Linked DNA regions of Macaca mulatta. The protein of the gene in region 3 binds, or shares a complex with, the protein of the main gene of each other region. Links are inferred from orthologs where the notes say so. Each region holds a gene or a part of one and is shown on either strand. Other genes may lie near its edges.

Region 1 (4,678 bases), on a different chromosome or scaffold from region 3:
CAAGTGACGTAGGTTGCATGCTCCTTGTGAGAATCTAATGTCTGATGATCTGAGGTGGAACAGTTTCATCCTGAAACCCTCCCTTGACCCGGTCCATGGAAAAGTCATTTTCCATGAAATTGTTTCCTGGTGCCAAGAAGGTTGGGGACTGCTAACCCAGGTATGGGATAGCACTGGGCAAAGTATGCTTCTACAAAATGTCACACAGCAATGAGACCTATTTGGGTGGCGGGAGGGATGGGAGTGGAGGCTGTGGGATGAAGAGAGTTGGGAAAACTTTTGTTCAGAGAAGGTCACAATTGAGCTGAATCTTGAAGGAAGAGGAGGCACTCTAGACAGGATAAAGGTCCCGCTGGATAGAACAGTACTTGCAAAGGCCTGGAGGTCCAAGAGGACGTGGCACATTTAGGAAACTGCAACAGATGATGACAGAGGACAGGATGCACATGTGGGACTTGGGCTGAGACTGGAGGAGCAGACAGGGCTCCTGCTATCAAAAAGTGGCCTGTATTATAGGTCTTGCAAGCGAGTTCCAAAGTATTTAGTTCACTACTCCAATTACTTTAGGCACCACAATTCGCAGGTCATTAAAAAATGTTTCCTAGTCTACTTTTGATTACTTATTCAGCACTACCTGTGTTAGTTTTGATAGGTAACTTAACCTCCCTGTGCCTCAGCTGCCTTACAGGGTAATAAAAATAGTACCTACCTCACAAGATTATTGTCAAAACAAATGTGTTAATAGACGTGAAGAACATAAGATAGCAGTGGCACACAGAATTGATAGTGGATGTTGTGTTGCCATTGATTTGCCATTAGTGACAAACAGCTGCTGAGATTAGAAAGGACAAAGGGACTGTTCTTGAAATTCACAAGACACAGCCTTAATGTAAAAGAAAGGCATATTTTATAACAAGTAAGTTTATCTAGGGAGGTAATAGTAGCAGGTATCTAGGTTTTTAGGTCCATGATCTCAGGCAACAGTATAAAATGATTACCAGACTCCTTTGGATAATATATTTATATTTGGATAATAAATTTAGCTTAAAAGTATATGCTTATAAAGTATAATTTGAACAATTATTTTCTGAACGCATATGATCTTACAGTTGCCCATACTGAAACCCATTTTCAATTTGCTGCCTTTCAGGTACAGCCTTGAATGATTTTCCTAAAGTTTGAATGATTTTCCTCTTCAGTTGGCAATTACTCATTTGAAAACACTTGGGCCTCATTTGCTCATAAATCATTTCCAAACAGAATTTCAGAAATGGAAGGGTCCTTAGAGATTGTCTAGTCCAACAGTCTATTTCATAAACAAGAAAACTGAAATACGGAGATTGAATAACTTGTCCAAGTTATAGTCTTCGAGGGCTCCACCTTGACTTTCCTACGTGCTCTCACGTAAGACTCTCACTGCCAGTGTGAACTGCCTACTGATTCCAAGTCCTTGTGTATCCTGAGTAAGCTTTATGACAAACTATCTTACTCCAGACTATGGTGAAATCAAATGCTTTCTATTTATTTAACTTGCATATTTCATGTGTTTCCTCAACAGACTTGGTTAAGTACTTGATGCTAGATGTTTGGTTAATTCTTGCTAAAGTTCCACCAGTATGCCTATTATTACACTCTTTATCCTCCAGAGTCAAAGTCATTAAGTAAAATCATTCTCTCCCATGAAATTTTACCACTTAACTGGGTGGATACAACCTCAGTGGCATGACACTGATGCTGTTTTCAAATTTGCAGGGTGAGTACATTTTCTAGGCAGGTTTCTAAAAATTTGAGAATCATTGCTTAAGAGGCTTAGTGTTCCTGTCCTCTGACCGAGGTTGTACTGGGCAGACCCATCTCAGGGCCTGCCAGCTCACACACCTGGTGGAGCGCGGCCTACCTAACCAGGTGTGTTCCAAGGGTAGGCTCTGCTCTTATGACATCCAATCCACAGTCTGGCCAGTCACCTAAGGGGGCCTTGGGGTAAAGAGATGAGTTGATCCAATCCGATTCTTATGGGAATATGGCTCAAACTCAGAGAGGAGCAGGTAGTTAGTAAAAACAAAACAAAACAAAAAACAAACCTAAAAAAAATGCAGAGAGAATCCATAAGAAAATGATGGGTCACAACCAGCAACACTGTGAAAGCAGAGGTTCTGAATTACAAAAAACATACAAAGAGTAACAATAAAAGACTCATAGGCAAATAGGGAAGTGGGGAGGCGTGGGAAAAAGTGAATGTGTTATATTAACGATGTAAGAGTTTAGGCCCTCAGTATTCTGCTGTCAAGGTCCAGGAAGCGGGATCTCTGTCTGGTGAGCCAGGATAAACTGTTTCAGCTCTAAAGCTTGAGACGCTTTTTCCTTTACCGCTACACGTTTCCACCGTACCCTAAATAGAATGGATTTGATTCTTGCAACCAAAAGAACTCATTACGACACCCAGGAAATTTTAGGGAGGTGCTAGAGTGTGCCTTCAGTTTTGTCGCTGTGTGCAACTCACTGGCCACTTCCACTCTCAACTCTTCCAGCTCAAGGGAAGTTTTACATATGCAACACATTGGCCTTAACTTCACCAATGGCTGATTTCCATCCTTTTTTTCTCTTCTGCAGAAACATAACACTAATTATGCTCCTAGAACAACTACCAAGATAGTCGTTAGGGGGAAAGCGTCACAGGACACGAACGTCTTCCCTGATAGAAACAAGGGCTCCTCCCCGAGGTCTCAGAGGCCACACCTGTAGGTAGGAGCACGCTTTTCGATGGCGGAGCCCGGTCCTTGCCTCGCGGACGCCGGCGCAGGACAGTGGCTCCCAGTTCCCGGGGACATTCCACGGCAACCCACATCCCCGGTCCCCGGCCCCTGGCCCCCGGTCCCCGGTGCCCGCTGGGTCACCTGTAATTGTAGGAGCTGAAACGCTTGCTCTCTCTCAGCATCGCCCGGTACAGATCTAACACTTGTGCGCGACTGGAGGCTGCCATTTTGGAAAGAAAAAAAATTAACGGGTCCTCTTCGCCGAGGTCCCAAGTACGACCCAACCTCGGAACTCCAGCCTGTGCAGAAACCACGCACGAAATAAAATGCAGCGGCTCGACCTTGCCAGCGGGCCGGTCCTAAGCCTAAGCCGGCAGCCCTGCGGACCGCAGACCGCGCCGGGCGTCCCGCGCCGCTTCGGGGGCGGGCGAAGGCAGGGCTCGGGGCAGCTAAAGGGGCGGTGCAAGGAGGGAGATGCCTCCGCCCCGCCCCGCTCCCGCTTCCGCCCCCGCCGGGAGGCTCGGGATCCAGCAGCATCTCCACGCGGCCGGAGGGCGAGAAAATAAGAGGCCCGGCCGCCCGTGCATCCAGCCAAGCTCCTGGGGGACGGATATTGGGGGTCCGGGCATTCGAGGGACGTGCAGTCGCATCACGGAGAGCCTTTGCGAACCGTCTGGGGTTTTGGCGGAGACATTTGTGTTTCGGGGCGCAGCGCCCCTTTGTGCCTTTAGAAGGCCGCGTTGCCCGGGTTACCGAAGGCCGCCGCGTCGACGCCCCGCCCCTGACAGCCCCGCCCACGCTGGCGGCGGCCGCCCTCGCCGCTGCCTGAGAGACCTTGCGGGATTTCAAGGGTGACTTAACTTCGCCCGATCATGGTCGGCAGGGTGGGATTTATTGGCATTCCTTGGGCCGGGGGATGCGACGTCTGGGTGTGGAGGTGATGAGACAGGGGTTCCGTGGCACTCCGGCTCTGCTCAGGGCGACCTGCGTAGGGGCCTCCGGGGCAAGGCCCGCTTTCCGTCAAAATGGCAGCGCCCAGCGTGCACGGGTATCTCTGAAGTTGGGGTTTAAGATTCTTGCCCGTGAGAGCCAACGAGCCTGCCGTGCTTCTGATTTTGAAATACCTGGGTCTGGGTTTCCCGGGCGAGCGGTGGGTGAGTGCCGACCTCGTTGCAGCCTGGGGTAGGACGTGGGCGGTTCGTGTGGTTAGGGGGTTACATTGGCCATGGATTTTTTCCTCTTTCCGGATGTGTTTTTGCTTTTGAGTGAAGAGTCCCCGTGGTTTTGTAGTCTAATAAATGCGTAAAATGCAGCTTGGGCTCTAGACTTTGGAGAATAATTTGAGCCCGTTAGGGCTTTAGGCGTTCTCCAAGAAGCGGAGCAAGTTTTCAACCATGGCTTTCTTCAGAAGACTTCAACTTTTTTGAATCATTTTATTAAAGTGGTGGATAAAGTTGCTTTTTCTGATCTTTGAGCATGGGACTGGACGCTGGAAGCTTCAGCCAGTTCTAGTTACTGTGTTTGCAAAGCACTTTTCTTGTTTTTGGAATCTTGCTTTATGTAATCAACCTTAGGAAGAACCCCACCTTTCCGCACTCGAGCACAGCGAGGAGTACCTTATGCATAAAAACAAAACAACTTTGCATTAAAATCCATCTTTCTCCCAACCGCTTGGTCACGGTTGTGTTCTCATCTGCTTTAGTGTATTTGGTTTTAAAACGATAAACTTGCTGTATATCTAAGCAACTTTATATTTTCAGGAACTTTTTTTTCCCTTTTATTTATTTATTTATTTTTTTGAGATGGAGTCACTCTCCGTCGCCCAGGCTGGAGTGCAGTGGCAGGATCTCGGACTCACTGCAACCTCCGCGTCCCGGGTTCAAGCTATTCTCCTGCCTCAGCCTCCCGAATAGCTGGGATTACAG
Region 2 (4,905 bases), on a different chromosome or scaffold from region 3:
CTCGGCCTCCCAAAGTGCTGGGATTACAGGTGTAAGCCACCGCGCCCGGCTGGATGAATGTTTTTTAAACAACCTTAGGTGTACTATGCAGGTACAGAGAGTTCAGAATGAACCAGTTACATACTACACCGATGCAGAACAGAGCATTCAGAAGTTTCTTCCCTAAAGTTCGGCTCATCTATGACCTTGGTTCTTTTTTTTTTTTTTTTTTTTTTTTTTGAGACGGGGTCTTGCTCTGCCGCCCAGGCTGGGGTGCAGTGGCCGGATCTCAGCTCACTGCAAGCTCCGCCTCCCAGGTTTACGCCATTCTCCTGCCTCAGCCTCCCGAGTAGCTGGGACTACAGGCGCCCGCCACCTCACCCGGCTAGTTTTTTGTATTTTTTAGTAGAGACGGGGTTTCACCGTGTTAGCCAGGATGGTCTCGATCTCCTGACCTCGTGATCCGCCCGTCTCGGCCTCCCAAAGTGCTGGGATTACAGGCTTGAGCCACCGTGCCCGGCCTGACCTTGGTTCTTAAAGTGGTTCTTAAAAGTCAGGGGCTCTGGAATTACCTGCCCAGACAGAAGTCAGAAACTTGGGCCTAGAAATCTGCATTTTAAACTCATTCCCGAGGTGCTCTTCACGTATCTTTAGGGTGCTAAGCCAATGCTTCTTAGATTTGAGCAACCAGTGAAATTACAAAAAGAATCTTCAAGACTCACTTCGAGCTGTCAACTATTATCTCACAAAGAACAATGAAAAGCGATAATCATCTCCTTTCATCCTTGTTCCAAAAAAATATTATGTGTATTTGTCTTTGGAAAAAATCTTGTACATGACCTTTACTGTTGTTTGCTTGGAGAGCTGTGTATGTCATTGCGGTCCAACATCTGGGAACCCCAAGGGGCTTTGGGCACCACTTTGGAGTGAATGATGGGCCCAAGAGACAAGGCTTATTAGAGAACACCATTATCTTCCATTGTTTTATTATTATTTTTTTATATATATGCAGATCTGTTTTATGTACAACAATTAGTTCTATCAAATATTCAGACAAAGGCATTCTACTGGTAATTTCCCTCCAAATCAATTCAGGTAAAATTAGATACTTACGTACTTCATGGGCTATCAACATTTGCAACTTATCAATTTCAGTTCTGAGGTCATACACACAATTCAAAATACACATTAACTAGGTTAAGGCGATAAAAGTGGACTGAAAGAAACCACGGGATTCAGAACAATGAAACTGTGTATTTTGCTTGCATGAGAGTCATAATGTGAACAGCAAGTATTGTGCGTATCTCATAGCTCTTCAGTGGAGAGGGAGCGGCTTCTGAACATCTAAGGTGATTGCACGGCAGGTGGGAAACAGGGGTGTGGCCTGCTGGAGGCTTCTCCCAGGGAGGGCTCATTTCTTCTCTGCTTCTCCTTTTTTGGGTTCTTGTTTCAATTTGTAATCAGCCAGGGCGGCCTTGATTGCATCTTCAGCCAGCACTACAGGTAACGGAAGGAAAGAAGCCTAAGTTTCTAGATGCGAAAGAAGTGGTTTTGGGAATAGAATCTTTAAGAGCTTAGAGGAAGTGGTGCTGGTGGGGACTAACGGGGTAACCAAGACAGAAAGCTGGGGTGAGGAGTTGCCGGGCAGGTCAGCAGCTACTTACTGAGCTGAGTTACTCCTGTGGGTAATCCTGGAGACAGACTAGGGTTTAAATATCTGTGATCCCAGGCTAGTTCCTTAGCCTCTTCGAACCTACTTTCTACTCTATAGAACTGGGATAATCATGCTTTTCTTGCCAGGATAGTGTGGGGACTTACGGAAGATGTCTAACACATAGTAGGGACATAGCAAATGTTAGTTCTTGCCTGCTCCCATCAAAGTCTGGCTTTGGACAAAATCATATCATGATAAAAAGTTGACATGACCTTTGGAAAAAAGATCATGTCAATCTGTTGATGGGATGGCATTTGCCACATCACCCTCTAGTGATCGAGAGTTTGACCACTTTTATTTAGGAGTCAATATTCAAAGTGAGGCTATGGGGAAAATAAAAACCAAGAGAGCTGGAATGACAGCAGAAAGCAAGCAAATAGCAGAGAACATCAGCTAAAGGTTTCAGTACCTAAAAATGCCTAATAAAAGGGCTAGGGATTTCCTGAAACCATGTGAAAATGTTTACAAGTGATGACCTTTCTTTATGGGTACTTAAAATTCCAGATCAAGTGGAAAGAACTTGGGTCTGACCAGGCTTCCTGAAGAATGAGTTAGTGTGTCTGCCCCGGCACCTGGCTCTTCTCCTTGTGAGTATTACCCTGGCAAGAGGCCTGACTCTCTGCTGATTTTTAACTAATTTGGTTAGTAAACCTCCATCGATGCATTAAGGCTAATGTTTCTCATTCCTTCTTTCCCTGAGAAGGTTAAGAAATGATGGAAAAAGCATTAGATTTAATACAGAGACCAAACTGGAAAGCCAAGTACAAGTCTTAAGGCATGTGAGCTTTTTTTTAGGATAGCAGAGAGGGGGACATTGTACAACTGGGCTTAGTTGTGCCATATATACAGATGCAGACCCTGACAGTTATAGCATCCAGACAGGAAGTGAAGAAATACACAGGAAACGGGATTATGGAGAAAGCTGAGTTTTCTCCTCTGCTAGAAACAGCAGATTCTGAAATCAAAGATTGGAGCTTAAATTCTGGCTCTCCCACTTATTAGCCATGTGACGTGGGTGTCTCAACCCAAGCCTCAGCTCCTTCATCCATAAGAGGAAAGTAATGACATCGACTGTGCACTCAAGGATATCTGTGAGGTTTAGAAATGATGCCCATCAAGTGCTCAGTATGATGGCTGGTGCATATCTCCTTCTGGCATGATTTTCTTAGGGATGAATGTGAGACCACGGGGGCTCTAACCCTCTGCAGGTTGTAAGGACAGACTCATGAGCTCTAATTCTGAGGGTTATAAACATGGGCTCCATGACCTAAAAGGACTGTTGCAAATGCAAGTTGAAATTACTGCCAAATGTCCCAGCTGACTGGTATGGAGAGCAGAGACTTACTGGAGCAGTGCAGTTTCACGGGAGGCAGGCAGAGCTCCTTGGCGATATCTGTGTTTTTGATAGTCAAGGCTTCCTCCACCTGAGAGGCATAATGGAAAGACGGGCAGTTTTAGCAACGCTTTATCTTGTGAGGGCCAGACAATAAAAAAGGGAGGCCAAAAAGGCCCTCGGGGTTGGTGGGGATAATTTCTGTTTAATAACTCAAAGGGTTGAGGGTCTTCTCAGGATGACTCCCACTCTATCAAAGCTGCAGCTGGGATTCTCAAGCATGAAGTATACACAGCTGCACTGCCTGGCTTGGGTAAGCAAAGACCGCCCAGACACTTCTCTAAGCCAGGAGTGGAACCGGTGAGAAGTCTCTTAGGGATCTGCTTGTGGCCTGTGTCAGGAATCTTTTCCTTAAAAGGTAGTGATTTCCGATACTGGTTTTGTGAATATCAGCTTCTCTGATGTCCTCATACGAAATGTTAGAATAAATCCTTTTGACTAGAAGTGCCACATGGCATCAGAGAGGTTGGGAAGATGTCAGGTAAGTGGCACAGTGGCAGTGGCACAGCCGGGTCGGGCTGAACGCTCTCTCTGGTGTCACCCTTTGCCTATAGGAGCAGCTCCTCCAGATCAACTGAGGAGGACGCCTGGGTTCTGGTTGACAGCCCGGGGGGGATAATGTGAGGCAAACAGATCCTCGCCCATGTGGAACAGTGCCCCACCGCCTTACAGAAAACCAGATTTCCCAACAGCTGGGCTCCTTTGCTATGTCTGACTATCGTTCAATTTCCCAATTCTGCTAACCCTTCTTGGCTGATTCAGGTTCTGCTCCTGAAACTCAGATAGGCGATCTCAGTTTAAAGGTTAAAGAAATGTTCTCTCTCCCATTTTCTGATCACAATTCACAGTCCCCTAAGAGCCAGGTTCTGGGAGCATAAGTGCCTTGTCTCATTTCTCCCTTCACCTGAGGACAGTTCCTGACAAACCACTTCAGGGCTACCTCCTGCCAGAGCAGGTTAGGTCTGAGCTTCCTGGCCCACAGGAGCTTGCCAGCCAGAAGGCCGTGAGCCACAGGAAGCAGGTGGCACGTGGCCTGGCAAACCGCTCTGCCGTGGAGCTGGCCAGCTCCCAAGCATGCTCCTCCATGACTCAGCTCCCTGCACCTGGTCCCTTGGGGCAGCAAAGATGAGTGCCATGATGGTTGGCTTTTCTGAGAGGTTCTGACAGCAACTGGATTTTAGAAAGTCCAGCTCTTCACTGCTTTTGGGACCTTTGACCTCTGCAGCTACCAGGGAAAGACACTTCGGAGAGAAAGGGATGAAAGAGAAGTTCTAGCTCTTTATTATCTCTGCCTTTAGAGGGCTTGTGATCAGCCACCTGGATCACTGTTCTGATTTCGTTGTTCACTTTGCCCCTACCCTTGCTGTGTTTTTGATTCTTTAATCCCTCTTTTAACACACGCTAGTTTATTTCACCAATCCTTGTAAGCCACCTAGAACCCTTCCTGAAACATGAGAGGAAATAAGCAAGAAAATAACTACCATATAACAACTCTCTGACTTGACAAATTATAAGAGTATTGGTAACCTTAGAGAAAGCCAAAGATTTCTTCTAAATTCTATTTTGTTAGAGGGACAGGTGAGGATCTTTTTTGTATGTAATTAACACCCAAACAAACAAACAAAATGATCAACAAGAAAAAAACCCAAACATCATCTAGAATGATCTATAATTCCCAATTTGAAGAATTAATATAATCAACATCTGTATAGCAGAAACTTTAAAAATTCAGAATATTAAAAAAAAGTTATGGTTGTTTTTGACCCATTAGACCCGTCAAGAGACAGGCTTGGGGTGAATGCAATTTCATTCTGTCAGA
Region 3 (4,605 bases):
ACAATAGGGTGGGGATGGGTGGCTGTGAAATACATATACGAGTCCAAATGAGGTGGATGGACACTATCTCCCAGGTCAGGAAAGCCCACATATGCCCTCTGGTTCCCTTCTCTTACCTTAATTGCTATGTTGTTGGATTCAGTAGCACCACTAGTAAAAATGATCTCACGAGGATCCGCTCCAATCAGAGATGCTACTTGCTGCAAGTCAAGAAACAGAGATATATAACATCAGTTCCCCAGGCAGAAATAGAGCTGCAGACACAGGTGGGACAGCCCTGGAGCAAGAAGAGCTCCACTGCATTCACCAAATTGCCCTGGATGAAGCTCTGTACCTACTAGAATCAAATTCTAGTTATATCCCAGATCCCAGGCTCTTTTCCAGCCCAATGCAAACTAATAATTTTTTTTTTTAATTAACTATTGGCCAGGTGTGGTGGGTCACCCCTGTAACCCCAGCACTTTGGGAAGCCAAGGTGGAAAGATCACCTGAGGTCAGGAGTTCGAGACCAACCTGGTCAACATGGTGAAACTCCATTTCTACTAAGAACACAAAAATATTAGGCCGGGCACGGTGGCTCACGCCTGTAATCCCAGCACTCTGGGAGGCCGAGATGGGTGGATCACCTGAGGTCAGGAGTTCAAGACCAGCCTGAACAACATGGAGAAACCCCATCTCTACTAAAAATACAAAATTCCCCAGGTGTAGTGGCGCACGCCTGTAATACCAGCTACTTGGGAGGCTGAGGTAGGAGAACTGCTTGAACCTGGGAGGCGGAGGTTGCAGTGAGCCAAGATTGTGCCACTGCACTGCAGCCTGGGCAACAAGAGCAAAACTCTATCTCAAAAAATAATAATAATAAATAAATAAAAATACAAAAATATTAGCTAGGCGTGGTGGCGTGTGCCTGTAATACCTATTACTTGGAAGGCTGAGGCAGGAGAATCACTTGAACCTGGGAGGCAGAGGTTGCAGTGAGCCAAGATTGCGCACCACTGCACTACAACCTGGGCAACACATGTGAAAACTCCACCTCTTAAAAAAAAAAAAAAAAAGAACTATTGAGCTCTTACTACTTATAGTACTTCTTACTTATCGGTGTTGTGTTAATAAACACTTTACCAACATGGTCTTATTTAACCCACCCAGTAACCCTACAGAGTAGAATCTCCATTTTAAATGTGAGGAAAATAAGGCTTAGAGAAATTAGATAACTTGCCCAAGTCATTTAGCCAGGAAATATGGGAACTAATCAGATGCCTGCAGTCAAACTCCAAGGCTGCTCTCTGAATCTCTTCCAGAAAGAATCCAAAACCACTTCTACATCCATGCACACCTACCAAGAAGGAAATGCCTCCCACAGGCCACTGCCCCGTCTGACCTTAGAACTTCCTAGACTCCTGTGTACTAACCTGGCGAGCACGTTCCATGGCTGCCTCACTCTCCCAGCCATATGCATGTGTCCGGGAGTGTGGGTTCCCATAGTAGTTGATTAGGTAAGGGAGCATGGCATCAAGCACCCGGGGGTCCTGAGCACAACAGAACAGATCATTTTCCTTGAGACCATAGTCAATTCAGGTCCCCCTCCACCCCTCAGACCTGCCCACCCTGCCTCAAGACACTCTGAACCCCTCAGGCACTGCCTAGAGGAGGCCTCAAACATTCTTTTGTTCCCACAAAACTACCCACCAACTATCAACCTAATACACTCCCACTCACAACCCATCCCAACTCAGATCGTTCTGCCTCCCCTCAGGTAGTCTACAAACACTGCCTTGTTCCGACATGTTTCTGCTGGTGTTTCCATTCCCGCCAGGCAATGTGATCTACAAGGGGCTGGGACAGGACAGGGCCTAGGCAAATACCCCTTGTCACACACTGGTGAAAACTTGCATTAGTCTTTTAACCCATTTAAAACTTGTCCAAGTTCACACAGTTACTAAGTGGTGGTTCTGCTCATTCCAGAGCCCATGCTTTCAACTACTACGATAGAGCCTGCGCTGAAGTGATTTGACCAAGGTCAATCGCTGGTGAGTAGTAAAGCCACTGCCAGTGGCCTCAAATTTAAGCCTCCTGACTCCTGGCTCAGTGCTTTTTCCAGCACACCTTCATGGCTCTCACTTCTCCAGGGATTCAGCCATTGCTTTGCGTGGTCACGCCCATCATTTACTTCCTAATAAACAGCCTTGGGAAAAGCTCCATCCTTACCAGAGGAGTTGTAGCTTGTACATCCATATAGAGAGGTCGCAGCACTGGCCCCGCCTCCGGGGCAGCGGTTGTATCTGCGGGAACAGCAGACTGAGGAGCATGATCTCCAACTGACAAAAAATGGAATGGAGTGGCCAAGTAAGACCGAAGGCAACTATGAACGCATGGCATCCAAAGGGCAGAAGGAAAAATCTGGCTGGGGGTGAGATAAGTGTAAGGGATGCTGGGGTCGAATCTCAATGGAAAGAAAACAGCAGAAGATACCTGACACGCTGTAAAAGGAGGTAAAGGAGAGGGAGAGAGGGTTCCTGGAGGGGCTGTTGAGGTGATATTCAAATGGCCTCCTAGGGAGGAAGACTGTAAAGGGCCAAGCCATTTAGAAGGAACGTGGAGCCAGAGTAGGTGCAGCCCCTTCTGACCGAAGCTAACGGTCTGCACGGGAGCCCAGAGCAGCATCTGTAACTTGGCCAGGAGCGGTCTGAAGGACGCGCCTCCACGGCTCTGGGGGCCTGTCGCGCAGGGTGCGAGGGGTGGTGCGCCGGGGTCAACCGTTCGGGGACCCGCCTAAGAAAGTCTGAGGGATGTGTCGTTTGAGAGAAAGGGTCAGAGAGTCTGGGCAGCAGGGTGGACAGGAAGGCTCCGGAATATTCAGTTGCGTCGCCGCGCGGAGGGGACAGGTCCGCACCTCCCGGAGAGCGGGACCCGAGCGTACCGCGCAGGCGCAGCCCCCGAGTGGGCGCCGCGGGCTTCGGCCCTGGAGCCGCTGTCACCGCCACTGCCGCCCGCCTCCAAGCGGCTCGGAGCAGCATGGTCCCGCTGGCAGAGCCCACCTTCCGAAGCTGCTACGGTCCTGGGCCCCAGGCTCCCGGAAGTGCTTCCCCGCGATCCGGAAGCGATTCATCGGGCCTCGAGCGCCCTCCCAGTCGTTTTCCGGGAGAGACGTAGAGCTGAGCGACCGAGGCCGCGAGCTAGGTGAGGTAGGCGCAGGGCGACGCGGGGCCGGAACGCGAAGAGGGTGTTGGAGTCGGGCTACCCATGGATTTTCCTTCCCTGACTTCCCCCGAGCCCTTGGGCCCACTTCCCGCCTGCCGCCTCCGTGCACGCCCGACTCTTGGGCCAGCGCCTGGGCCCACACTTTCCTATCCCCCGCAGATGCCGGTGGCCGTGGGTCCCTACGGACAGTCCCAGCCAAGCTGCTTCGACCGCGTCAAGATGGGCTTCGTGATGGGTTGCGCCGTGGGCATGGCGGCCGGGGCGCTCTTCGGCACCTTTTCCTGTCTCAGGTGAGGGGCGCGGGCGGTGATCTCTGGGTAGGACAACCAGATCTTCCGGCCCTACCCCATTCGGCCTGGAGCCTGAACACAGCCTCCTAATCCTTTAGACTTCCCTCTCTGTCCCATCGCGAGCCAGACTCATTCCAAACCACCTTCAATCTGAAAGGTCAGGTTGGAAGGGTCAGTGCTTAAGAATTTGAGCTTTAGAGTCAAACTGCTTTCTGGCCCTTTTCTTACTGGTTCGGTGACTTTAGGCAAGTTGGAGACTGGGTTTCCTTAAGTGTAGAATGAAGACAGCGTCTACCTTATAGAGTTCTAAAAATTCGATCAGCACACTTTGCACAGAATCTGGCACATATTAAGTGCTCAGTAACTGGTTACTACTGTTGCTTTTATTTTTATTTCCAATTGCGCATGAGGAAAGAAACTTGTTCAGCGGTTTTACTATTCTGGATACAGGATACAACAGAGATAAAGCAGTCAAACTTTACACTCTGAAAGTCATTTTCACATTTAGGAGCTGTTATTGCTCTATCTCCAGATTGTAAATTACCATTTACCGAGCACTTACTCTATGTTAAGCACTGTGCTAAATCCTGTAGTTTTCAAAATCCTGTAAATAATGAGATGCCCATTTTACACTTCACACTACGTGTAAATTGCAGAGGTGGCTCTTGAACCCCAACCTTACTCCAAAATCATTAACAAGAAACTAAAAGATAGATGTCTTTATTGGGTCTTATTTAACCTGCAGGCAACACCAGTCCAAAAAACTGGTTTCTCTGCCTATGTATTTTACACTGCATCTGCTGCCTTCCACAAACTGAAGGCAGTTAATATGACATCCACCAGAATTCCCTGGAGACCCAGATGGATCTTTTTCCTTCTCATTACCTACCCCAGGTAGTAAGAGGTAATATCCAGTAAGTGGAAAATGAGATGTAGGGGTTGCTAGACTAGTGTTAGCAAAAAATTGGAAAGGAGCAGTTAATACTCTTTCTGGTATTTTTGTTACCAAATAGCCCCATCTTGGTTTCCTCCTCAGGATCGGAATGCGGGGTCGAGAGCTGATGGGCGGCATTGGGAAAACCATGATGCAGAGTGGCGGCACGTTTGGCACATT

What was found.
Region 1: the proteins of NFS1 (region 3) and LYRM4 are in contact, whole or in part, in a crystal structure (PDB 6W1D), measured with the Homo sapiens proteins. The link is inferred for Macaca mulatta from reciprocal best matches to the Homo sapiens genes NFS1 and LYRM4. Residues at the interface, in NP_066923.3 of Homo sapiens: Leu56, Arg57, Pro58, Leu59, Pro68, Leu69, Pro71, Arg72, Leu74, Asp75, Leu78, Glu314, Tyr317, Arg321, Asp372, Arg412, Phe413, Thr414, Thr415, Glu417, Glu418, Tyr421; in NP_065141.3 of Homo sapiens: Phe23, Tyr26, Asn27, Tyr28, Thr30, Tyr31, Arg34, Arg35, Asp38, Val65, Arg68, Gln69, Ile72, Thr78, Asp79, Lys80, Leu81, Ile82, Ile83, Asn85.
Region 2: the proteins of NFS1 (region 3) and ISCU are in contact, whole or in part, in a crystal structure (PDB 6W1D), measured with the Homo sapiens proteins. The link is inferred for Macaca mulatta from reciprocal best matches to the Homo sapiens genes NFS1 and ISCU. Residues at the interface, in NP_066923.3 of Homo sapiens: Tyr360, Val361, Glu362, Glu364, Ser365, Leu367, Met368, Ala369, Lys371, Glu399, Asp400, His403, Ser404, His429, Arg432, Leu433, Glu435, Met436, Ser437, Pro438, Leu439, Glu441, Met442, Trp454, Thr455; in NP_998760.1 of Homo sapiens: Tyr35, Val40, His42, Tyr43, Glu44, Val49, Gly50, Ser51, Leu63, Val64, Gly65, Ala66, Pro67, Ala68, Cys69, Gly70, Val72, Lys74, Phe90, Lys91, Thr92, Phe93, Gly94, Cys95, Gly96, Ile99, Lys135.

The regions. Positions count from the first base shown.
Region 1 is NC_133409.1:177,930,044-177,934,721, reverse strand, and holds the start of LYRM4 (LYR motif-containing protein 4), read right to left. Parts: upstream 3,189-4,678; 5' UTR 2,981-3,188; coding exon 2,895-2,980; intron 1-2,894.
Region 2 is NC_133416.1:115,693,846-115,698,750, reverse strand, and holds the end of ISCU (iron-sulfur cluster assembly enzyme ISCU), read right to left. Parts: intron 3,118-4,905; coding exon 3,039-3,117; intron 2,651-3,038; coding exon of another isoform or gene 2,604-2,650; exon of another isoform or gene 2,589-2,603; intron 2,389-2,588; coding exon of another isoform or gene 2,336-2,388; exon of another isoform or gene 2,321-2,335; intron 1,477-2,320; coding exon 1,391-1,476; 3' UTR 979-1,390; downstream 1-978.
Region 3 is NC_133415.1:88,511,795-88,516,399, forward strand, and holds the start of NFS1 (cysteine desulfurase), read right to left. Parts: upstream 3,082-4,605; 5' UTR 3,018-3,081; coding exon 2,894-3,017; intron 2,319-2,893; coding exon 2,209-2,318; intron 1,530-2,208; coding exon 1,413-1,529; intron 201-1,412; coding exon 117-200; intron 1-116. Other genes in the region: ROMO1 (reactive oxygen species modulator 1), read left to right, coding at 3,361-3,491, 4,528-4,605.